2 linked regions of the Mytilus edulis genome follow. The main gene of each other region encodes a partner of the protein of the gene in region 2 in a complex. Links are inferred from orthologs where the notes say so. Each region holds a gene or a part of one and is shown on either strand. Other genes may lie near its edges. The genes, in order: WD repeat-containing protein 82-like and CXXC-type zinc finger protein 1-like.

Region 1 (13,081 bases), about 17 Mb from region 2:
TCCAAATTATTAACTAATTCTCTTTTTTAGTTGATTTTTTAAAATAAATATGCCAATGTAACAGTAATTAGAGAAAATGATCCTAAATTTTAAGCAAAATTCCCAAGAAAAAACACAAAATATACACATCAAATATAGAATTTATTTTATTTATTAATAATACTCAAAATTAATTTAAACTGATTATTTTTCACTCATAGTCATTGCCTCACCTGAATTCATATAATAATGAAAAAGGGTAACCATCTGATTATACACAGGGCTCACACTACTTCAGAATTATAGGGAGAAGTGACTTCTCTTTTTGAAACTGATAGGGAGAAGTGGTGAGATTTGAAAGAGAAGTGCTCATTCCCGCGGGTGCGCTACAATGTTTGGATTTTACAATAGTATAAAGGGCCATATGTAAATAATGTTCTTTTTATGTTGTTCAATTCATATGAGTGAAAAATTACAATTAAAGTAACATTTGAAATTAAAAGTTGTTTAAGTTTTACTAAGGTTCTTGTGAGAAACTACCAACTAAATATCTAGCACTAAAAAAAAAACTTATTTTAAAAAATTATCTTGTGTATGAAATTCAGTGTTTCTCATAAAAAAAATATGAAAGTTATTAAGCTGGGCCATAATATATTGATATTAGTATAATAGTCTCAGAGTTTTAGCAACTTTAATCAATAGTTTGAAACATTCATAAAAAATATAGGGAATTATATACAACAATCATTTAGATGTAACCAAAAGTCTCTTAATTCGTGTGGGATGCGTAATTTTTCCCTTTGGGATCAATATTCTTTTGTCAGCTGTTCCATCCGTGCGTCCGTAGTAATTATTGTAAAAGTACGGATTTCGGTCATAGCTGGTCCGGTTCAGATCCGTAGTTTAGAAATCGGTCAATGGCGGACGAATGCAAGAAAATTTACAAAAATAAACGATGTTTGACAAGTTATTTGGAAAGGAACATGACGGTTTTAATGCAAGAAATGGATTTAACATTTACTGGAGGCAACTTTTATCACGTTTAAATGAAGTAACAAACTTATTTTGCCGCCGAAATTTAGGTTGATGTACGTTTTCGAGTAACAAGCACCGGAACTTGCGAAAATGCACGAAGTGATAAAAAGTTGTATTTTTATCAAATAACCTGATACACACTGCGAAGACAATGCTTCAACCTCTTTTCTAAAGATAATGAATAGTTTATGTCTGAATTTCTTTAATTATCAGTAAAAAATTGATGTTTCATCAACTTGGTAAAAATTGAAAATGTCCAATGACGGAAGCGACTGAAAGCGACTTTCGTCAAGAACAGGGCGACTTGTTTTCGCTTTTGGGGGTCGGGGAAAGCGAAGTGACGGTCGGGAGGGCGACTTCTTCGCCCAAGTCGCCTGGTAGCGTGAGCCCTGATACATGTATGTTATTGAATGCTCTTATTTTAAGGTCACATGTTATGTATTCATAAGATTTTAAGATAAAAAAAGATGTGGTATTAGTGCTAACAAGAAAACTCTCCATGATTACACAAGTTTTATATCTAATATTTGTACCAGCAAAAATACATAGTATTCTAATTAATATTTTCTTATTTCATTGAAACTTACTGAAATTTCACAATTGTCTCCCTTGACCATGTTGACAAAATGTTTGAAGCTGGTCATTTGAGTTATATCACATTTGTCATTTCAGTGCATTTTTTAACTTACTGTGCAGTATGTGCTTTGATCATTGTTGAAGGCTGTACAGTCACCTATAGTTATTTCTTCTTATTTATATATAACTCAGATGTGATAAACTACTTACTTTTTAGTGTGGCCTGGAAAGTATCTGATGTATTTATTGTCATGAAGAGACAGATATCTGATGGTATCTAAAATTAACAATTAAAACAAACATAAACATGCTGCATATATCATCAAAACTATTGTAGTGGTGCACAATCATTTCTAAAATGTTATAAATTTGACATCATTTGTAAACTATTGTTATTTCACACTATCACAATCTATTTTTCAAATTGAACATGACTGCATTGTAAACTACCTTAACCAAAAACTTTCACATGTTACATGTGAGACTATATAGCTAGCAGTACAAATAGACAGAACAGGAAACATCAAACCTCCAGACTACCATGATTTCTACTGTATGTAGGGCATTACAATTATCTAAAACAAGACAAATGATCTATTAGCTGTAAACCTTTCTTAAATGCTCATTACTTCTCAAATTAGGGCTATGTTTTTCCTGTATGTTAGTGTTTCCTACAGGTGGTTTTGGTGTGTAATGGCGCCCTGCCGCGATTTCTCGACTCCCTGCCCTATTTGGGAAAAAAATTTGGTGCCCTGCCCTAATTTTGTCGAAATTCCTGACAAATGCCTTTATCGTCGTCATTAACAACCGGTACTGAAAGACATATTTTATGAATACCGCTTGAGTTATTTCCCTTCAAACGTAAACAAAAGTTCACTAGGACGCCATTTTGTAATCGATTTCGTAATCAGTTGATTAGCAAACTACAATAGATTGAAAAGTGAATACAGATACTAATCATGCCATCAACAAATCGGATGAAGTGAAAACGTGAGGAAGAAAATGAGAAACAGGCCGCAAAATACAGAAAGATTTTATCATTTTTTCAAAGGTTTGTAGATTTTTATTACAAAATGGTTATGCACTTGCAACGGTGTTAGTTCGGGGGTAAAAATAAACTTTTGTCAAAGGGATAATTTAAGGTAAAAGTTGAGTTAGGCCAAGGATCTCATGAAATCACTTGCATATTAATTACTTTCAATTAATTCATTTTTTCATCAAATTATTTTTTTAAAATTTACTTCTTCAGTTTTTAATTTGAATTAATTTAAGAAAGGAACAATTTATGAAAAAACTTCCAGATTATTTAAGATATTCTTGTTTTATTTGTAATTTATTTATTTTTAGCACCAAAGAGGCACGGAGTTTCACAACGCAGAAATAGACTGAATGTGTCAACTGTAAACAATCTTGTTCTAGTGTCAGCAAATACAAAAGATGATTTGGATATCAGGGAATGTGTCAAACTGTTTTTAGGGAAAAAAAGGAGGATTTGACAATGACAATTGATATGACCAAAGCAATATTTTTATATATATGACACAGTTCTTTCTTGTTTTTAAACATTTTTAAAGAACTGATTTTGTTTTTAATTGTGTTTGTTGTTTTAAATATTTCATATATATGTTTTAAACACTTTTTCTTGTTTAACAATTTGTTTTAATGATTGACTACAGATGCATATGTCCTTTTTATAGCATTAAACTAGTATGTTTTAAATGAATCCATTTTATAGAAATTGCCTGTTTATATTAAGTGCCCTAAAATAGTTGTCCATCGTGTTAATGTGCCCTCTGAGCTAACAACTACCCTGCCCTTTTTAAAAGCTGCAGGAAACACTATATGTTCACATGAATTTACGCTATGCATACACAATTTGTACCTATAATATTACTCTTTTGAGTTTACATGTCTCCAATATGAAGTTGTATACAAAGACCCCCCCCCCCCCCCCTCCCCCCCAAAAAAAAATATAATAAAATATATACCATCAACTTTGGTTGAACTGTGTAATGCTGTGTTGACTGCATGTGTATAACAAATCAAATCCACACCATACTTCTTACTGTTTAAGGTTTTCTTAGGCCTGTAAATAAAATCATTTCCCATGATGTACATAACATGAACATGAAGTTATAGATATTGAGTTTATTATCATGACTATAAGTACATGTAATACAGATACTTAATTCAAAATCAATTACCACAGTTCATTGTCAGATTGTACAGTGTAGTAAATAGTTATGTTTAAGTAATCACAAGACTTCTCCAATAATGTTCTAATCAAGAACAGACAGCAATCAACAACAAAACAAGAAACTGTGTTGCCTAAATGTGCTAGCTCTTTTATAATACCAATAGATCAGAGTACTGACATGAAACACGGGGAATAAATGCTGGGAAACACATAGCATGCACATCTTACCAAACAAGAGAAAACGAAAATTAAAACGTCAAAATACGTAAATAACGTGAAATAAAAAGACTGAAAACGTTGCATGAGAATAACAATGTACTGCCCTTTTTTACTCATACCAAGCTAAGTTTAAACAACAAATTAATATTTCATAATCAATGAATCAAGACTTTCTGTTAATAATTCAACTGGAATTTGATTTAAAATTTGATGCAAACATGTGCGCATGTCGGTTGCTAACAGACCTTAGGGGCTAACATGTAGGGTGTGAAAGTGTATTGTGGACAAACAGACCTGATAGTGAGTGATACTGCCAAGGGGCATATAAACTTTTGGTATTTAGCTGTATTATGCCTCAGAATGACCTTATATCATCTTCGAATAACCTTCTGACGTCAAACAACAATTACTTTTTCGTTGTGACGTCAAATGTTTTGAATTATGATGTCAAAGTTTACAGGAAACCAGGGATCTCCATAGATGAAAATTGGACGAGGGAGGAACTTTCACCATGACAAACCGTGTCTACCCCGTACAGTGTAGCGTGATCGAAACTATTTCATCCCTTCATGTAAGGAATGGTGAACATGCTAATTTATTGCTTAATATTTAAATTATATTCATTTGAATTTTCATTACAGAAGTATCAATATTTTCATTAATTGCCGTTTGTAACCATTCAAATACCAAGCCTTCATGGTCCCCCTTAGTTGAGAATGACCAAAAGCTGTCATGAAGATCCACATGTAGTTTTCTTGATATTTTTGGTAATTGTTATGGGGGTTTAAAATCATGTGGAGTTTATTTTTCACAGACACTGTCAAATTCAGAAGTCATGAACCCAATACCGGTATGGCTGATTTTCAGTAACAACATAACGATTCGTATGGGTAATGTAAAAGGTTGAAGAGATTTGTAAAGCACACGTTGACAAATGAAAAGGTTTTTAATGACTTTATCTAGCAAATTGATGCTATGTAACAAACATCTTTTTAGAGTATGAATATAAACCCGGAAACAAGGATGTTTCAATTTGATTGTAAACTATGAAATGAATTCGGAATTACGATATGGTATTTCACAGTAAATATTTTAGTTTTTAGTTTTTAACTTTTAAAGGAATTCTATATTATTGTTACAGCAGTACTTGAGTTACTTGCGATGAAATAATATTAATATTTTACGTCTTATTTTGTACTTCTTAAGGGGGCTGCTGATTGCGTAATAAAAGTTGAAATAAAAGCATGTGTTCGACTTGTTAAACAATTTTTTTTTGTAACTGGATTATTAATTTATTAAATCGAAATTATCATAAGCATTTGCTTAAACTTAGTTGAATAATTCTATAAATGAATCCTCTATCTTCAGATAATATTCTCCAACTGGTTTGTTAATCTACCTGTACAAGCTCAGGTACAAGTGATTAGCGATCTCAATCCGGATATCCCTCAGGCATTAGAACTGTATTGGATTATAATATAAAAAAACCTAAGGGTTATGCAATTACATGCAATTAATTAAAATTGCAAAAAAAATGGGGTCAGGCTGTAAAAAATGATAACAGTTTTGAACAATGGCGGAAGACAATTTAAGGATGGCGTGGGCCATTTGAAAATGGCGCAAATATTTGAACGATAATGGGGCGCCATCATTAAACAGGCCATGGATATTTCTGGGAACCTGTGTGATTTTCTGTAATGGCGGACAAAATTGCATACAAGTGTAAATACGTCTATTGATTGGCATTGATTTTCATACAATCCTGTAGTAGTAAGCATAAATTATTAATAATTGCACATGTGAGCGCGCAATCAAAACCAGATTGTTGCATAATAGACCGACAATTCTTTGTCCCTCGCAACGCGTCGTGCATAAGACTATAAAAACAATAAGTGATAATTGTGCTTGAAGCAAAATTATTTATCAGTTTATGAAGGAAACCAAAAGCCAGTTCTTGTAAGCTTACGTTCCATTCTGGCAATCGTATATGACGATAGAGTCATCATCACTGCTTGAAATAAGAGTGTCTCCGTTTGCCGAAAAGTCTAAATTATTTATCCGTTCTGTATTTTCCCTAAATACTTTAGCAACTCTGAAGTTTCGAACAACATTGTCAGTTAACTTCATTTTGTGAATTCGAGCCTCAATTCGTAGGAGGCGCTGTTGTTTATTTACTGCGTTAGGGTCTCACTAATTAGCGACAACAAGCGTCAAGAAGCGACAACAAGCGTCAACAAGCGACAAGAAGCGACAACAAGAATTATTTTAGCGACAACAAGCGACAAGAAGACTATTTAGCGACAAGACAACATTTTTTTTTATTAGATTATTAGAAATTTGTATTTAATGGTTTTTTTTTAAAATATACGAGCAGATATGTCTAATTAAAATGTTTTATTATATATATATATATATAGATAGATAGACCGTCCAGTGGCGGATCCAGGGGGGGGGGGGGGTCCGGGGGTGCGCACCCCCCCTTTATTTTTGCCGATCAATGCATTTGTATCGGGACATATGTTTTGCACCCCCCCTTTGCCCTGGGTGCCCTGGGTTAGCACCCCCCTTTCGAAAATTCCTGCATCCGCCCCTGAGACCGTCGAAGAAATGAAACATTTGTGAGGAAGAAAGAGATTGTGAACATTCACATTTCAATTTTCTTTTCCTCCTGTTTGATTTCAGTTCTTTGTATTTCACAATTTGTGTCAATATTTTCAGGACAATGATGCATAAATAATTCATTTTGCGAGCTTAATATATATTGCATGAACAGAGTTTTAAAAAACAAATTATAAGATAAATAATATGCTCTAAAACACAAAGAAAAGTAATCTCATAATACAATAATTAAACGTAATACTGGCTGTTATTCATAATAGATGATCAATTTTAACTTTCTTGTCGCTAAAATTATTTTCATTTGCATATTCTTTTAATATTTATTGCAATAATTAATTTTAATTAAAAAAAAATGTTTTCTTGTCGCTAAATAGTTTCTTGTCGCTTGTTGTCGCTAAAATAATTCTTGTTGTCGCTTCTTGTCGCTTGTTGACGCTTGTTGTCGCTAAAATTCTTGTTGTCGCTAATTAGTGAGACCGCTGCGTTATATTGTTTTAATATCACCAAACACCAAAAAAGCTACATTTGTACAAGGCAAACCATTGCATAAATAAATACAATAATAAATTTGTAAAAAATACACACAAATAAAATAATAAAGGTTTTCTATTTTTTAAGTAAAGAATGAATAAAAGACAGAATGTAACACCAAAATCATGAAAATATAAACATCACACCGAACTATTTATTGTCGTTGTAGTGCAATTTAAATTTTACTCTAATTTGGTATTTAGATTTTTTGAACTAATGTTAATATTTCCCCAACAAATCTAAGTATTAAAAAAATTCTGACCCCTGTACATATTGCTTATTACTTTATTGTCATTTATCTATGAACATAAAGAGATTTGTTTAGTCTTTTGTTTAAAAAAAACCTTCATTAACTGCGGGACAAGATTTGAGGACACCTTAGCAGACGAAAAAAAGATCTACTAGATATACATTGGTCTTGTTATCTCTATGACCCCTTTAAGACTATGACACGGTAATATACATTCATTTGTTTCCTGTCGGCTTATTTAGTAGGTGCATTCGAATTTCTATCATAAAACTTTAAGCTTCTTTTTGTCATTATCAAATTTATCATCCTCAAGCACAGGCACTTGTTTTCTATCTATGGGAAGATCTACTATCACATTGCTGTTACTCCTTACTGCCTTGATTTTCTGTGTCTAATTAATTAGGGGGGCAGAACCTTTTTGGGATGTCGGGATCAGGTGTTTATAAGCTCAGGATTTTGGGATTGACCCTTTCTGGATCTGGGATTGCTTTCTTCGAAAATTTCGGGATGGCTGGATTTTTTTTTTTTAAATTTGGGAACTCAGGATTTCATGTTTTTAAGCCTGGGATTGTGGGTTCTGGACCCCTCCAACCCACCCTCATTGATGCATTAAATCTCTTGTCATATTAGCATGTCAAGAGATATTGTTTTGCACTATTTTGCTATGATGCCTTACACGAGGGTGGTAATGCCCTTTACCGTCAGGCGTCAAACAGTAATTTTCGCGTTATCATCAAATTGTTTAAAATTTTACTGTGATTCATCAATATATCATAATCGTGATTCGTCAGATGTCTCAAATAATTATCTTTACTGTTTTTTTTGGAAAAAAATAGCATGATTCGTCAAAGTCAGCTGATATTTTTATCGTCTAAAAGAAAGTGTACATTTTATTTTGACAAAATTGAACCATACTGGCTGTTTAAAGCAAATTATTTCACTTTTCACTTTCTTTAATGTTTGCACAAACAAAAATCCCAATTTGATTTTTTTTTAAGTATCATATGTACCTAGTGCCCCTTTAATAATACATCAAATATATGTCAGTTTATGCAAACAGCCTGTGCCAAACTGTTTTAGGGTTTATCTGACCAAAAGAGAAATTTGAACTTGTCTACTTTCTATTCAACCAAAAAATCTTAAAATTTCTGTCTGACAAATGTCTGACTGAATGATTTTTTGTCTGATATTTTGTCGGTCAGACAGAGATTGGGAAACACTGTGCAAATATCGTTTTGCTGTGATATCTGACTGTCACTTCTTACTGTCATTGATGGACATGTTTATCAGAAGGATTTGACAAATATGTTTACATAAAATTTACTGTGAAAAAATAAAAAATGAAAAATTTTAAATGCATGACAGCCACAAGAGGAATTTGACAAAAAAAATAATAATTATGTTTTATAAAATTAAAAACTTTACTGGATTTTAAGAAAATCAAGTGCCAAAAATAAACTAGAAGTTAAGAATATGTTCTAAATTAAATCAAGTTTGGAATTTTTTACATATTTCTTGTGGAAGGGTTCCAGTGTCTAAATATTTTGGAAGATCACTGTCAGTTCTGGGTATTTCAAAGCACCATTATTTTTTTTTATATTTGGGTTTTACTATAGAATATTTTGGAAACTTGAGGTTACATTGTTACTAATTTTTAAAGCTTGTACACAGGTAAAAAAGAGGTGAATACTTCATTGGTTTAAAACTTCCAGTGATGGTTATTATATTAAATGCAATGAAATGTTATGTGAAATTTGTCTGTACCATAGTACTGTACAGGATAAAACTTTACTCATGCCAAGTATTTTCTGCTCAATTTTTTGAAAATTGCAAATTTAATAGACTAATTAAGGGAAACCCATGGTAGTATTCCACCTTTAGGCATAAACTACACCAAACACTTTTAGGTTGTGAGATGCCTAATTATATCTGTTGAATCCATTTGAAATTTTAAACAAATAACAAAAACTCATTCCTTAAAGGTGGACCCTGAATTACACAATAGTGCAAGAAAGATAACTCCATTACATTTTAGTCAATCTGCAGCACTGTTTACATAAGCAATAAAATAAAATAAATATGCAAGTCAGTAATTATGTTTTGTCTCATTAAGTAATCTGTGCAGGCTGTTATAGAATGAAATCCATTCTTATTAAGATTGGTACAAACAAAAAGATAGGATTACACATGTTGTACATGTACACTCTATGAAAACGACATAAAACTTTAATTTGGTGCATGGTGCTAGCTATATATAGACAAGTGTCATCTGTTTTGCTGTGGAATCATCACTAAAGTGTTTTTTTTTTCTGGAAATGAATGTTTCACTCATTTCTAATATGCTTTGAAGTTGCTATTGTGTTAGTTTATATCCTACCAATAAATAAAAATATGGCATTCTGACTTTGTTATGAAAATGTATATTTTTTCTTTCTAATTCACCAGGTACATCAGTTGGCTTTGTCCAGTCTGTAAATTTATTTCACAAAGCAGACAACCTAGAGTATTGAAACATTTACCAGTCAATGGATGGACGTTTAATTTTTACAAATACTCATCTTACATCAGTTGTGTAAGAAGAAAGGACACTGGTGAGATGGCCAATCAAGATGTAGTGTCTATATTTTCATCTGCTGTTAATTCTGTACTACCCCATCATTTGATACGGAAACATATTCAGTTGGATCACAATGGGAAAAATTTGATCATAGAGGATAAAAAATATAAATTAGATAACAATGTTTATGTGGTTGGTTTTGGAAAGGCTGTATTGGGAATGGCCAGAGCAGTAGATGATACATTATCACAGCATATAGTTAAAGGAATAATTAGTGTACCTACAGGAATTCAGGAGAATTTCAGTGACGCTGGCAAGCTGTAAGTGTACAAAATTATGAATTTTATTTTTGTAATTTGGTATTGACACTTGTATGGAACACTGTCTGTTCTCATCCATCTTCCATAATTTTAGGCAAACTATTATAGAAAAGCTTATGGCCTTCAACAAGGAGAATTACCAATACAATATAGGCAGCTATTAAAGGCCTGACATGAAAAATTTTAGACAGTTTTATTGAGAACAAAACCAATTACAAAAAAAAACATATGACAGACACTAACCATTAATTAACAATCACTGAACTACAGGCTCCTGATTTTGGACAAGCACATAAGAAGGGGAGATAATCTTAATACCCAACTTTCGAGTTAGATGCATTTCGGTCAAAAACTTTGGTTTTAGTAAACATCATTCGTGCATTTAGGGGCACTTACATGTACACTTCTGTTTCCATGTTGAGTGAGTGGAAAACTATGATGCTATTTTGCATGTATTATTAGGCAAATTGAATTCTCATAATTGAATCAGCACTTCTGTCATTAGAGACACACATTAATTCTAGTTTATCCAGCACAATGACTACCACTAAGACACTTGATGAACATTAATAGTGCAGGGATACAGGTTATCCCCTCTATCTGGTAAATGATGCCATAAAGGCACGCATAATTGACGAGTTTTTTCTGGTGAAGGACAAACTCAAAAGTGGTCCATTACATGTTCTTAGATTGAAATGATATCATAAATGTTTTACAAAAATCTCCCAACAAAAAACATTTATGACTGCAAATGCTCTGCATGACAATAATGTGCAGAAAAACAATCTCATTGTTATGGCATCAAATGTAATTATAAGTACTTGTATTTGATATTTCTTATAGTAATTTTGAATGCTAGTAAATGTGTTGATCATGTACACATTTTTGGCATGAAGGGCTTAATTTATTGTATTAACTTGAAAAAGAACATACAGTATACATGTAAATGCTTGTCTTTCATTCAAGACCAAATTTGATTTGTTTAATTGTGATGTTTGCATTTTGTCTAATTCGGTTTTACCATGCATATGTTACAGTGAATTTGTATAATCAGGGATTATGTAGAATCCCTGATTTTTCAGGGAATATGTAGAATCACTGAAATCATTAGTAATTATATATAATCCCTAAAAATGACCAGTGATTTTACATAATCACTGAACATTTTAATAATTATTCTACATATTCCCTAATATGATTTCAGGGATTATCAATAATTTAAAGAACCTTTGTTTGTTAAAAAATAAATAATATAGACAAATTATAATTTTTTTCTTTCATATTCCTTGCCAGATGAAATAAATTTGCTTTAAAACACAGAGGATAATCATACAGATATAATCAACACAGGATTTCGAATTAAAGTTGAAGACTTCAAAATTAATAATAATCAACCTTCCCTTTATAGCGATAACTTGTTGCTTAAAAGCCAGCGTTAAATGGATATTCAAGTTCTATTTGTAAATCTAAAGAGCTTGTTATTTGTGGCAAAGTAGATAATGGAACTTTTTTTTTTTTGGTCAAATGAACAAGAAAAATCAAACCAAGAGAACTAATACGCATCTAAATGTCATGATGATAAAACAGGCAAAACTAAGGATTGATAAATAATTTTTTTTTAGAGGAAGCTGGCATTTGGTGTAATATTTTCATAACAAATCCGCAGGGAAAAAAGGAAAGGGAAACCCAAAAAACATAATCATTGGCAATTGTTCACAAAAATTCTGAAAAAGAATATTGCCTGGCCACTAAACATGGTATTTTGCTCGAACAGATTTGAGGTTGCTTATTTCCTTTTTTTCGGGATACCTTGAAATAGTTTTACTGAACACTTTATTTTTCTTAGGTGTGTCGAAAAATTTGATCCGATATGTGAAGGAAAAAGTTTTTTAAAATGTGGATATTGTGATAGAAACAGATGTGAAGCATATTATTTTAATATATTGTGTTTAACATTTTAAAATATTGTGCCTAACATTTTTAAAAATGGGTTTATCATTTTAATATTTTGTGCTTAACATTTTACAATTTTATGTTTATAATGATGTTTTAATATGATTTTGTAGAATAAATTATTTGACTTTTATTCATTTTTTTTATAAATAAAACTATTTCTTCAATTCAGTTATTATGTATAATCCCTAACGTTTTTTTTCTAGTGATTATACATAATCCCTGAAAATATTAGTGGTTATACATAATCCCTAAACTAGAACGTGATTCTACATAATCCCTGAAAATTTCAGGGATTCTACATAATCACTGATTATACAAATTCACTGTAACACATATACATTTATAAAAAAAATGTGTCATCTTCTTTATAATTTTTTTTTTTTTATTCAATTTATTCATTTCTGTTATAATCTTGCAGTGATATGTTACTGGATTCTAACAGCAAAATAGAGGTGAGAGAAGGATCTAAAAACAATATGCCAGATAAAAGTTGTAACCAAACTGCTGTGAGAATTCAGGATTTGGTTTCTAAACTGAGAGAAAAGGATCTCCTAATTGTCTTGATATCAGGTATATTAAAATAAAATATTTAGTAAGCCTTGTCACTGGTCAGCTATTTGATTTTAAGATGTTAAGTTCTTCTTTTAAGAATAATTTCCTTAGTTGAGTCCTCTCTTGAACTCTAATTTTATTTTTATTGCCAATTTTAATTAAAATTGAATGGAATTTTCCTACTCTTGTTACTTTTCAAAACAGAATAAGTTTGGCTGATATCAAGTCAAACATCATTAATCTGTCATTAAATAAAAAAATAAAATGAAAAAATACAATACAATATTGAA
Region 2 (12,345 bases):
ATCTTAAAACAATTCATTAATTGGCTTATTGAGGGAAAAAAATTAAAACATAAACTGAGAAAACTAAAATCAAATATTGATTATTTCAAAAAAAAATACTGTTTTCTATGATCAATGATGATGTCTCTGACTGACAATTCACAAGATTGGGCTATATATATGAATAAATAATTTATTAAAGTGCAACCTGAATTGCCATTATATAATACATATGATATGAACATTGTTATTTTCAGCCAGCCTTATAGGCTTACGAAGCACTGTCATTTTAAAACATTATTATAAGATCGTATTAAATATATAAGAATTATCTCCCTTTGACATTTTCTGTTTCTGTATTAATACTTGGAATGCAAAGCTATTTTAAACTTTACAGGAACAACAATATTTCAATTTTTATAATGAACTTATAGGACAATTCATTTTTACATCGACAGAGCTCACCTGGCCCATTCATGATTGCATATCATCTTGATAATCATTCTAGCTAGAGGGAAACTTAAACAGTAAAAAGGATAAGCAAGACAATAATGTTTCTATAATATCCACAAATAAGTCAGTATGGTTGATATCATCAGTCATTTTTGTCAGTTGACTCTTTAATGACATTTGTTAAAAGATTTTGCTTAAAATTTAAAATCTATACATGTTACTGTATCACAAACTTTCTAAAGCAAGATTGATCAGCAAGACTACATTTTGTACATTTACAAATAATTCAGCTTGGCTAAATTTTGAATTGACACATTTTAAGAGTCATTGCACTTGAATGAGATTTCTTTTTTCAACTTTGTGATTTTACCTTTTATCTTGATAACTGTAATAGATCTAGATAAGACACATGAAATAGCAAATGTGATCTGCCAGACAAGATTTACAAACAATGATTTTATAACTCCTTATTGGAGTTAACATGATTAATTGCTCTTGAATTAAGATTTTTACCCATTTTTATAATTTATAAGAGATAGATAGAAACTTTACATATAGTAAAATTAATTGGCAAGCTAAGATCTACATAAAAGTTTAATAACCAAAACCTTCAATTGAGTCCTTATCTACTAAGCCTGAAAACACAGTTATTAGGTCTTTCCACCTTTCCGTGGAAAGACCTATTGGATTTCTTCTGATTATTATTATTATTTTTTTTTTTATTCTTCCGCCTAATTCTTTTCTTGCGTAGTATTGATGTTTCAAAAGATGTCGCTTAGATATTTGGAATATGATATCGTAAAGCGTATGCACTTTTAAAACTAACCACTGCGTAACCAAATACTTTACGTTGTAAGAGTTATCTCCCCAAACACTGTTTTTCTTGTGGCCACTACTCCTTCGCAACCATAAAAGATTACGACAAATTTATTTTGCCAAATTGCTCGTTACATCCTCAGGATGTTCTGTTTTATTTTGACCGAAGCCGTATAGAGACTCCATATGAGAGTTAGTTCCCATTTTGTATTTGAAATTTTGAAATGTATTTTAAACTGGAAAACCATAAGTGATAGAGACCTAGGGTCTTTTGTTTTGAGATCATTGGTCCAAAAAAATGAAAATTAGGTAAAGGTCAAAGGTCAAGGTCATATTCTAAATTTTGATTTTGGCCTATTTTCACTAATTTTCATTAACCTTATAAGATACCGACAAATTATTTTTACTAAATTGTTAGTTGCGACATATCGTAACTTATATATTTTTGTTAAAAGGGTGTGTAGACATAAAATGGGAGTTTTTGCCCCTCCTATATTAAGAATTAAACGTAAAGTGATATAACTCATTAACTATACATATTACAGACCTAGGGTCTTTTTATTTGGGGTCCCTGGTTTATGACCTTGAAATATAGGTCAAGGTCATCAGTAAATTTGACGTTCTAGATTTTGACCTTTGCTCAAAATTCATATTTATACATCATTAAGCCATAGGAACTGACATTTTCAACTGAATTTTAATATTTTCATATCAAAATAGATCCTTATTGGTGGAAAGACCTTCAATTGTTCTCTGAACAATTGGTTTTTAATTTTGAAGTGCATTTCTTTAAGACAATAAATGATTTTTTTTTAATCCCACCTGCGCTTTCTCAATAATATTTTTACAGTGTGTGATGTACTACAAATTGTATCAAAATTATTGAAAACTTCATCTGCTCTAACTCAAATATAGACAATTTTAATTAAGGGGGTCTTGAATTCTTTTGACAGCTTCAGACATATTAATTTTTAACCTTTTTCAAATCAATACTTTATTTTAAAATTCATGACCCACAATTTTTTGCAATGGAATTTCATCCTTCTTGCTATTTGAGGCCTAAAACATTAAAAAAAATTTTTTTAAAGGGTATGAAAAAATTGCAACTATAATTCACTGTCGGCCACAGTACAGACTAATGGACTATATTCATGGACAAAGAAATTCAAAAGGACACTTACTGCGTTCCCAGGCATAGCTATTTAAAAATATATTGCTCTTAAAGGGATAATTCGCGATTTTTCACTTTTCATCTTATTATGTTCATAATACCATAAAAAACATATTCCCCAAGTTTTATTTCGATATGAAAAGTAATAAGGGAGAAAATTTGGAATTAATAATTTTATTTTATCAAACTTCCTGACTTATGTGACGTAGTTTAAGTCTTTGAGCATGCCGGGAGTGAAATTAATCTCATTTAAGTCTTGTTCGTTAACCATCTAATAACGCTATTTAAAGCGCATCGACGACTTTTGGTGTAGCTATTAACCAACGAAAAGTAAGTGACAGCCATGCAACTTTTTAAATTAGATTGTAGGATTCATGTTTGGATTTTTTATACGAATTCTAGTAATTAAAGTAAATAATACAATAGAACATTTTTATGATTTTTTTTCTTCAAATACTTTAAACAAACATATAAAACTGACACGATCGATAGTGTATTAAAAAATACATGTTTGTATTCTGAACTTTTTGCTTCATTCCAGAAAACATTTTCACTTGCTTGTACTGTGGAAATTAAATGTGTATTAATTTGTTACACTTAGTGAATGTTGAATGCGTAGTTAAACTCAAGGTAATTAAAAGATTAGCATTATGTAATTCTAATCTTTTGATCTTCATTCAGTGACACCTAGGCGTCACGGTTCAGCATTTCAGGTGTGAACAACATTTCGTATGAATGATATACGGGAGTCAGTTATAGTTATAGACACAGAAATGTAAGAAAAAGAATTAAAATGAATTTACGGGAGAAATAAGGTCGCACAATAACTGGATAGCTGTTGTATATTTTTATATATATATTTTGCATAAGCTCACTTTTAAATGAATTATGACTTCTGATTAGTTTTGTAACGATAAAATACTGAATTATTTTAATTGAATAAAATTATAAATAAAAATAGCCTTCTAAACACGAGTGTATGAACTAAAAATTGTACTTTTTAAAATTAAAATCGCCAACCTTTAATATTTCAAACAGATTGCAATTATATGATTTAGTCCATCCAAAGCGATCTTTATTTACCTATTTAGGAATTAATATTCTCATCAAAATATTTTAAATCTCACAACCCATGCATGAATACTTCAGCTATTTGAAAAAAAAAGATGTTTTAAAAAATTGACAGGAAATTTAAGTTTCCTCTTGGAATGGAATCGACAAATTACGAATAGAAATTCTTTTCAAGTGTGAAAAACGTCAACCAAATTTATTCATAATCGGGAGCGTCCTTATTAAAATAGTCTTCTTCTCACAACGAATAATACTTTAGCTATTTGACCAACAATGTTTAAAAAAAAAGACAACGAATTTAATGTCATCTTAAGTTCCCTATTTTTGAATGTAATTATAAGTCTGTTCAACTGGCAAGAATACCCCTAAAGCGGACAAGCAGTTTATTCTTTAAATTGATGTCATTGAATTTGAAGAAAGAAAATAAATCCCGAAATCAATTTGAAACTTTAATACTCAAAAGTTTTCCTAGAAAATACTCACATCCCTTGGGGTTTATTAGTGTACGTCCAGTTGCATATGTTTTACATGAATGTCGGAACAATTGTGATGATGTCGAATTTCTTCCTTTCATTGGAGAACGATCTAATTGATATATAAATTTGTGATTTTACTATGTTCATAACTTCGATGAACCGAAGCAAGTTATTATATCGACCTGTATTTAAATCAAATTGGTCCTCTTCTTCTTCTTCTTCTTCTTTTGGTATACAATGGTCTATCGAATTCGATGATTACATACTGTTGGCATACGTGGAATAGTCTATTTACAAAACTGTTACCCCAATTTACACAAAATGTATGTTTCTTTCTTATGTTCAATGTATACATGTAATAATTTTAAATTGCGATATAGCTCCGTAACTTTCTATCCAGGCGTAGAAATGAATCGTCGACAAGTGCGTACATTTTTATTAAATCAATATTTCTGGTATGTTCCAATCTGTCCTTTACTATTGACAACGAGTATATATTACATTTTCCCAAATTAAACCTTGGAAAAAAAATGTAAATAGATTTTTATTTTATCAAATCTTTTTTTTTTGGTATTATTTGTATTTTTATAAATAATATTCTTTACACCAGTAATGTTATTTATAAACAAGCGTATGAGTTTAGTAATGGCTATAGTATATTATATCACTTTCGGACACGCAAGACAGAGATGTATATTATACACCTGATAGTTCAAAATGGAGAGTTATAAGTTATCGGCCGTGTACACTGATCAATACCTACAGAAGTGAAACGATGCATGAACTTGCAAGCCCGACAGGAAATCGTTTGAATACCTGGACGTGTCACCTCACACCCCTCACAATACCTTTGGGAGTAATACCTTTAGTCATGCTGGTGATCAGATGAGGGAATATCCGAATTTATTTGAATAAAATTTATTACTTTAAAGAATTATAAACGAATAAGATTTACGAAAACAGTTTTCACGGAAAACTTATTTATGATTTAAACTTTGACTTTTTAACTAATTCCAATATTAACAGTTTAAAAATAACAGACTATGGTTATTTAAAAAAAAATAAGAACATTTTCTGTATCAAGTTAGTTTGTCAGATAAAACAACCGTACGATTGACAAGATATCGACACGCAATTACGACTACATCGGTTAGTGTAGTTTTGGTCCTTTGTGGTTTATAGACATATCGTGATTTTTAATCGGGGAAGACGACAAAATGGCGGAACGCAGAGAGTTGATACTCTAAATTTAAAATCGATGGTGATCTCTTATCTAGCGGAATAAAACTTTAATATCTATAAATTTGAGCATTTCTATATATAGAATGGACATAATATCAATTTTTGATTTTTTTGCGAAGTTTCCCTTTAAATGACAAATTTTACCATTTTGTTTTTTGTGTTTTTGGACATTGGTAAAGATGCACATAGAGTTTAGAAATAAGAGGTTTAAAAATCCTGTTGTTCACATCATTACCTTCTTAATTGAATGGTTGAAACAGTGCCTCCTAATTTTGTCTGCAAAGATTTAGACTGAACTTCTTATTAATAATAACATAAAAATGTATGGCTAGATAATTTTTTGCAACCTCATATGAATGTGTAAAATGCATGTTTTTATTGGAAATGGTAACGCCTTAAAAGCATGAAAACCCATAAAAGAGGGAGGTTTGGAGGGCCCTAATCCCAAAATCCCAGGCTTAAAAACATGAAATCCTGCAGAAGAAAAAAAATCTTGACATTACGAAATTCTCAAAAACAAATCCTGGATCCCGATAACGGTCAATCCGAAAATCCCTAGCATAAAAACACCCCATCATGACGTCCCAAAAAAGATCATGCCCCCCTCCTCCTTTTCCCCTCATAAAAAAATAATTTTAAAAATGCAAAGGGGAGATAATCACTCAAAACATAATTGAGCTTGTAGGGTTATATCAAGAAATTATGAAAATCCATATCATTCTCAATGTTAAGTAGTCGGATTTGAAGGATAGACGAATTAACTAGTCAGTATCACAGCCATATCAAGCTATAATTTATAGCTATAGGTTTACTTGCAGTTTTAAAAAACCTGATAGTTTTTTTCTAAAGATCATATAAAACTTGTAAATTCATGTAAAAAAAACTACTGATACGGACTTTGTACTATTTTAAAAGTTACACCTGTCTCATATTATAAAACTTACAGACATTCCACTAGCACTGCCTTCAGATTCTGACATAATGAGAATATACTACAACAAAAATTAGTAAGCCAAATCTGTCAATGTGTAATACGTCATCCCTTTTGCTGTCTTGAGAAAGATTTTAGATTAAAATAAAAAATCAGAATCTTTTCGGTGAAAGATATATAAAACAGTCAGAATATAAATATTGTTGAAATTAGAAATTTTCATTAGTAATAAATGTTAATAATCTAATGTCACTGAATGTGTATATAAAATGTTTCGGGGTAATTTAAATCATTCTTTTATTCACCTTATAACCCGGAAGTGAAAAAGTGCCGGAGATAATTTTGGAGTTTATGCCCAAAGCGAAACAAGTCAAATGTCCCTGACTGCTGATTGACATTCAAATAGAAAGTAAACCTTTCAGCGATGGAAGGGCTGATCCCTGTTATCAACAAACTGCAAGATGTTTTTAACACTGTTGGTTCAGAGACAATTCAGCTTCCACAAATTGTTGTGATAGGCAATCAGGTGCATGTCCTTAAAATAATTTGTATTTATCTCTGATGTAATTTCTATGTAAACATCAAATAGAAAGTAAACCTTTCAGCGATGGAAGGGCTGATCCCTGTTATCAACAAACTGCAAGATGTTTTTAACACTGTTGGTTCAGAGACAATTCAGCTTCCACAAATTGCTGTGATAGGCAATCAGGTGCATGTCCTTAAAAATAATTTGTATTTATCTCTGATGTAATTTCTATGTAAACATCAAATAGAAAATAAACCTTTCAGCAATGGAAGGGCTGATCCCTGTTATCAACAAACTGCAAGATGTTTTTAACACTGTTGGTTCAGAGACAATTCAGCTTCCACAAATTGTTGTGATAGGCAATCAGGTGGACCGTGCATGGTATCGGGATCGTTCGCCCTGATTACATGTTCGCCCTAGGTTCGTTCGCACTGAGTTTGTTCGCCCTGATAGTCCGTTCGCCCTGGGTTCGTTCGCCCTATATTCATTTATGATATGTATATGTTACATCAATGAACGAAATATATATATATATATTAAAATTTATTTAAATTTATGTATATCTATTAAAAGTTAAATACAGAATATTTGCCAAATTTATATTAATTAAATAAAAGTCTTGGCTGCATTGTTACACTTTATTTTATAATTACTTTTAATATTACTGTTGATTGAATTTTGATTGCTGAGTAGGTGTCATTTGAAACTTTTGATATGTATCAATAAAGTTTAATATATAAATAACTTAGTCATGTTAGTCTTTAGTTGTTTTATGTCAGGTATAAGTCAGAAACTTATCCTCGTAGAAGCAAGACAACAACTTAGTCTTCAGTTGTTTCACACATTTAAAAATACACAATTTACAGAAACTTATATTTCCTAGTAACGTAATTACATACAAATACAAACTTAGTCCTCAAAAACTTAGAGTCCAAAAATGTACTGAAACTTATAACCTTACAGCATGTAAAGCAGCTAGCTTTAGACAATTCAACATGATACATCGTAAATATTCGGCGAAATTGTAGACCGACTTCAACACATTCAATTATATACACACAACGCAACACTATACTTAAAAATAAAATCAGGGCGAACGGACTCAGGGCAAACAGGTATTAGGGCGAACCAGAATCAGGGCGGACGGACCCGGATTCACCGTGCATGCCCTTAAAAATCTTAAAAAAGTGTTTTTTTATTTATCTGATGTAATTTCTATGACAATGATAGTTAACAGTACATTTAAACTTATACATTAAGGATTGTTTTTATATTGCCATAATGCTATACAGTGTTTTCCATTCGGCATTTAAGCCGACCTTTTGAAAGCCGACCACCTTTCGATTTTAGGAGGTGGTCGGCTTTTTTTTTCAAAATCCGGGTATTTTTCGGTTCCGTACCGTTAAAATTTGAATACTAATCCTGCCTTGTTTTTATTGACAAAGATGGCGTCCAAACGTCAAATTTCAATGTTTTCATTTATCAATCGGGGAAAAAGAAAGGCAGATGACGATGATGATAAAGAAAATACTAGACTAAATAAGTTAAATAAAATTGATAGTAATGTTGGAGTTGTTTGAAATTGAACAAAAATCAACCAAATAACGGAAAAGACACGCAAGTGAAGACAAATATGAGCAAGACTTCAAATGACTTATAGTCACAGAGGAAGGATACTACTGTTCTGTGTGCCAAAAATACGGCACAAAAGCAAGAAACAGGACAGAAACCTGGATTGAAAGGCCTTCAATCCATATTGATGCATAAAATTGTAAATGAAAGTAGAGATATAAGAGATAAATTTTTGAAAAAAAAATAAATCAAAGAATATTTGACAATTAATATGACTAGTACTTCTATTTATGTTTGTTTAACTCCATTAAATGTGAATATTATACTACTCTATTTTTGTGACCCCCACGTGCACCCACAGTAAATAAAAAAAAGGTTGGACATTTAAAAAAAACACTCGGTTGCAAGTTATTTTTTAAAACACCCACCTTACCTTAGTGAAAAAAGGAAAACACTGCTATACCTGTGTTAACCATTAAAGAGGCGTTTTAACTCTGCTCTTGACAGCTACATTGGAAAACGTATCTTCATCGACTATAGTATTCCTATTGGCACCAATTGGGGTGCGACTTTTCACCCCAACATACCCCAATATACCCCAATATACCTCAAAAACAGTTTTAACATAACAGTATTGAATAATAACATTATTTTATGCATTTTCATGTTATTTTAACACCAATAATACTTTAATTTATGAATATAATTAATTTTAAATCACTTTTTGCATTGAAACTTGTTCCGTTCTTGTCAGCCGCTTACGATCACAAAATGACTTTTTACCCCAATATACCCCAATATACTCAAATAAAACGTTTCAGTGCAATATTCATGTTGTGGAATGATATTTTACCCATATTTACTTTTAAAAAACAACCCTATGCACCTCTGTGTGTATTTAGAAGCTTTTAAAACTACTGTTAACTCGAAAACTGATAATGGTAACACTAAAGACCAGGACGGACCTGAAAATATACAGGGCAGTTTTAAATAGCTATTTCTTTTTCACTCCTTCAAATTTAAGTTTTATTCAAGAACATTTGTATTTTCATAATTAAATTTGAATCGTTTTTCATACATGTAGATAAAATTAGAAATATTTAATTTTTTTTTGAAATATCAGGGATCTCCATGGATGAAAATTGAACGCTGGAGGAACTTTCACCATTACAAACCGTGTCTACGCTGTACAGTGTAGCGCGATCGGAAGTATTTTATCCCTCCATACAAGGAATGGTGAACATGCTAATTCATTGCTTATTTAAATTATATTTATTTGAATTTTCATTATAGAATTAGAAGTATCAATATTTTCATTTATTGCCGTTTTTAACCATTCAAATGCCAAGTCTTCTTGGTCCCCCCTTAGTTGAGAATGACCAAAAGCTGTCATGAAAGTCCCCATGTAGATTTCTTGTATTTTTGGTAATTGTTATGGGGGTTAAAAATCATATGATGTGGAGCTTATTTTTCATTTACACTGTCAAATTAAGAACCCATTACCGGTATGGCTGATTTGCAGCAACAACAAAACGATTCGTACGGGTTATGTAAAAGGTTAAAGAGATTTGTAAAGCAAACGTTGACAAATGAAAAGGTTTTTAATGACTTTATCTGGCAAATTTATGCTGTGCAACATGCATCTTTCGAGTCTGAATAGAAACCGGAAACGCAGATGTATCAATTTGATTGTAATATACGAAATGAATTCAGAATTACGATACGATATTTCTTTACAGGAAATATTTAAGTTTTTACTTTTAAACTTTTAAAGTAATTCTAAATATTTTGTACTTCTTAAGAAAAGGGAGATGCTGATTGCGTAAGTCAAAATAAAGCACGTGTTTGACTTGTTAAACTGTTCTCTTTGTAACTGGATTATTAATTTATTTATTTAATCTAAATTATCATAATCATTTGCTGAAACTTAGTTGATTAATTGGACAAATAATTCGACAAATGGATCGTCTATCCTCAGATAGTATTCTGTCTGGTTTGTTGATCTACCTGTATACAAGCTCATGTACAAGTGATTAGCGATCTTAATCCGGATATCCCTCAGGCGTTAGAACTGTATTGGATTATAACATAAAAAGCCTAAGGGTTATGCAATTACATGCATTTGATTATAATTGATAACAAAAAATGGCGTCGGGCTACAAAAAACGATGAAGTTTAGAACGATGGCGGAAGACAATTTAACGATGGCGCAAGACAATTTAACGATGGCTCAAGTCATTTGACGATGGTGCAAGACATTTGAATGATGGCGGGGCGCCATCGTTAAACAGGCCATGGAGATCCCTGTTATATGTACGAAGTTTGTTACCACCTTTACCAAATAAAGCTTTCTCTGATTGTAAATTGCCTTGCCACTTTTCGACATATTTACTAAACATTTTAGACATAACAGTATTGACAACTGAGGTACTATCAACATAATCTGTAATGATACACAAATGTTCTGCTTTATACTCAGAAAACGTTTTCCTTACATAAAAATTCCAATTTTTTATACACTTATGTTTTTATACGACCGCAAAATTTGAAAAAATTTTCGTCGTATATTGCTATCACGTTGGCGTCGTCGTCGTCGTCCGAATACTTTTAGTTTTCGCACTCTAACTTTAGTAAAAGTGAATGGAAATCTATGAAATTTTAACACAAGGTTTATGACCACAAAAGGAAGGTTGGTATTGATTTTGGGAGTTTTGGTCCCAACATTTTAGGAATTAGGGGCCAAAAAGGGCCCAAATAAGCATTTTCTTGGTTTTCGCACTATAACTTTAGTTTAAGTTAATAGAAATCTATGAAATTTTGACACAAGGTTTATGACCACAAAAGAACGGTTGGGATTGATTTTTAGAGTTGAGGTTCGAAACAGTTTAGGAATTAGGGGCCAAAAAAGGGCCCAAATAAGCATTATTCTTGGTTTTCGCACAATAACTTTAGTTTAAGTAAATAGAAATCAATGAAATTTAAACACAATGTTAATGACTACAAAAGGAAGGTTGGTATTGATTTTGGGAGTTTAGGTCCCAACAGTTTAGGAATTAGGGGCCAAAAAGGGACCCAAATAAGCATTTTTCTTGGTTTTCGCACCATAACGTTAGTATAAGTAAATAGAAATCAATGAAATTTAAACACAAGGTTTATGACCATAAAAGGAAGGTTGGTATTGATTTTGGGAGTTTTTGTCCCAACAGAATAAGGGGCCCAAAGGGTCCAAAATTAAACTTTGTTTGATTTCATCAAAATTGAATAATTGGGGTTCTTTGATATGCCGAATCTAACTGTCATGACTGTGTATGTAGATTCTTAACTTTTGGTCCCGTTTTCAAATTGGTCTACATTAAGGTCCAAAGGGTCCAAAATTAAACTTAGTTTGATTTTGACAAAAAATGAATCAGTTAGGTTCTTTGATATGCTGAATCTAAAAATGTACTTAGATTCTTGATTATTGGCCCAGTTTTCAAGTTGGTCCAAATCGGGGTCCAAAATTAAACTTTGTTTGATTTCATCAAAAATTGAATAAATGGGGTTCTTTGATATACCAAATCTAACTGTGTATGTAGATTCTTCATTTTTGGTCCTGTTTTCAAATTGGTCTACACTAAAGTCCAAAGGGTCCAAAATTAAACTTAGTCTGATTTTAACAAAAATTGAAATCTTGGGGTTCTTTGATATGCTGAATCAAAAAATGTACTTAGATTTTTTATTATGGGCCCAGTTTTCAAGTTGGTCCAAATCATGATCTAAAATTATTATATTAAGTATTGTGCAATAGCAAGTCTTTTCAATTGCACAGTATTGCGCAATGGTAAGAAATATCTAACTGCACAATATTGTGAAATAGCAATTTTTTTTTTAATTAGAGTTATCTTTCTTTGTCCAGAATAGTAAGCAAGAAATATCTAATTGCAAAATATTGTGCAATAGCAAGATTTTTTTTTAATTGGAGTTATCTTTCTTTGTCCAGAATCAACTTAAATCTTTGTTATATACAATATACAATGAATATTCACTTTTTACTACCAACTGATAAATTAAAATAATCTTTACCATTCAGTGATAACAAGCAGTTTTTTTACATCTTAATATTTTATGA

The links.
Region 1: CXXC-type zinc finger protein 1-like (region 2) and WD repeat-containing protein 82-like share a complex: the UniProt entries of both Drosophila melanogaster proteins name them as parts of the SET1 complex. The link is inferred for Mytilus edulis from reciprocal best matches to the Drosophila melanogaster genes Cfp1 and Wdr82.

What each region holds. Positions count from the first base shown.
Region 1 is NC_092344.1:104,246,576-104,259,656, forward strand, and holds the start of WD repeat-containing protein 82-like, read right to left. Parts: upstream 6,183-13,081; 5' UTR 6,134-6,182; coding exon 5,973-6,133; intron 3,677-5,972; coding exon 3,579-3,676; intron 1,868-3,578; coding exon 1,801-1,867; intron 1-1,800. Other genes in the region: glycerate kinase-like, read left to right, coding at 7,603-7,610, 9,852-10,283, 12,658-12,809. UniProt on the Drosophila melanogaster protein: Component of the SET1 complex that specifically di- and trimethylates 'Lys-4' of histone H3.
Region 2 is NC_092344.1:87,706,757-87,719,101, reverse strand, and holds the start of CXXC-type zinc finger protein 1-like, read right to left. Parts: upstream 6,275-12,345; 5' UTR 6,189-6,274; coding exon 6,153-6,188; intron 1-6,152. Other genes in the region: dynamin-1-like protein, read left to right, coding at 6,931-7,032. UniProt on the Drosophila melanogaster protein: Component of the SET1 complex that specifically di- and trimethylates 'Lys-4' of histone H3. Essential for Set1 association with chromatin and trimethylation of histone H3 at 'Lys-4' at transcription puffs.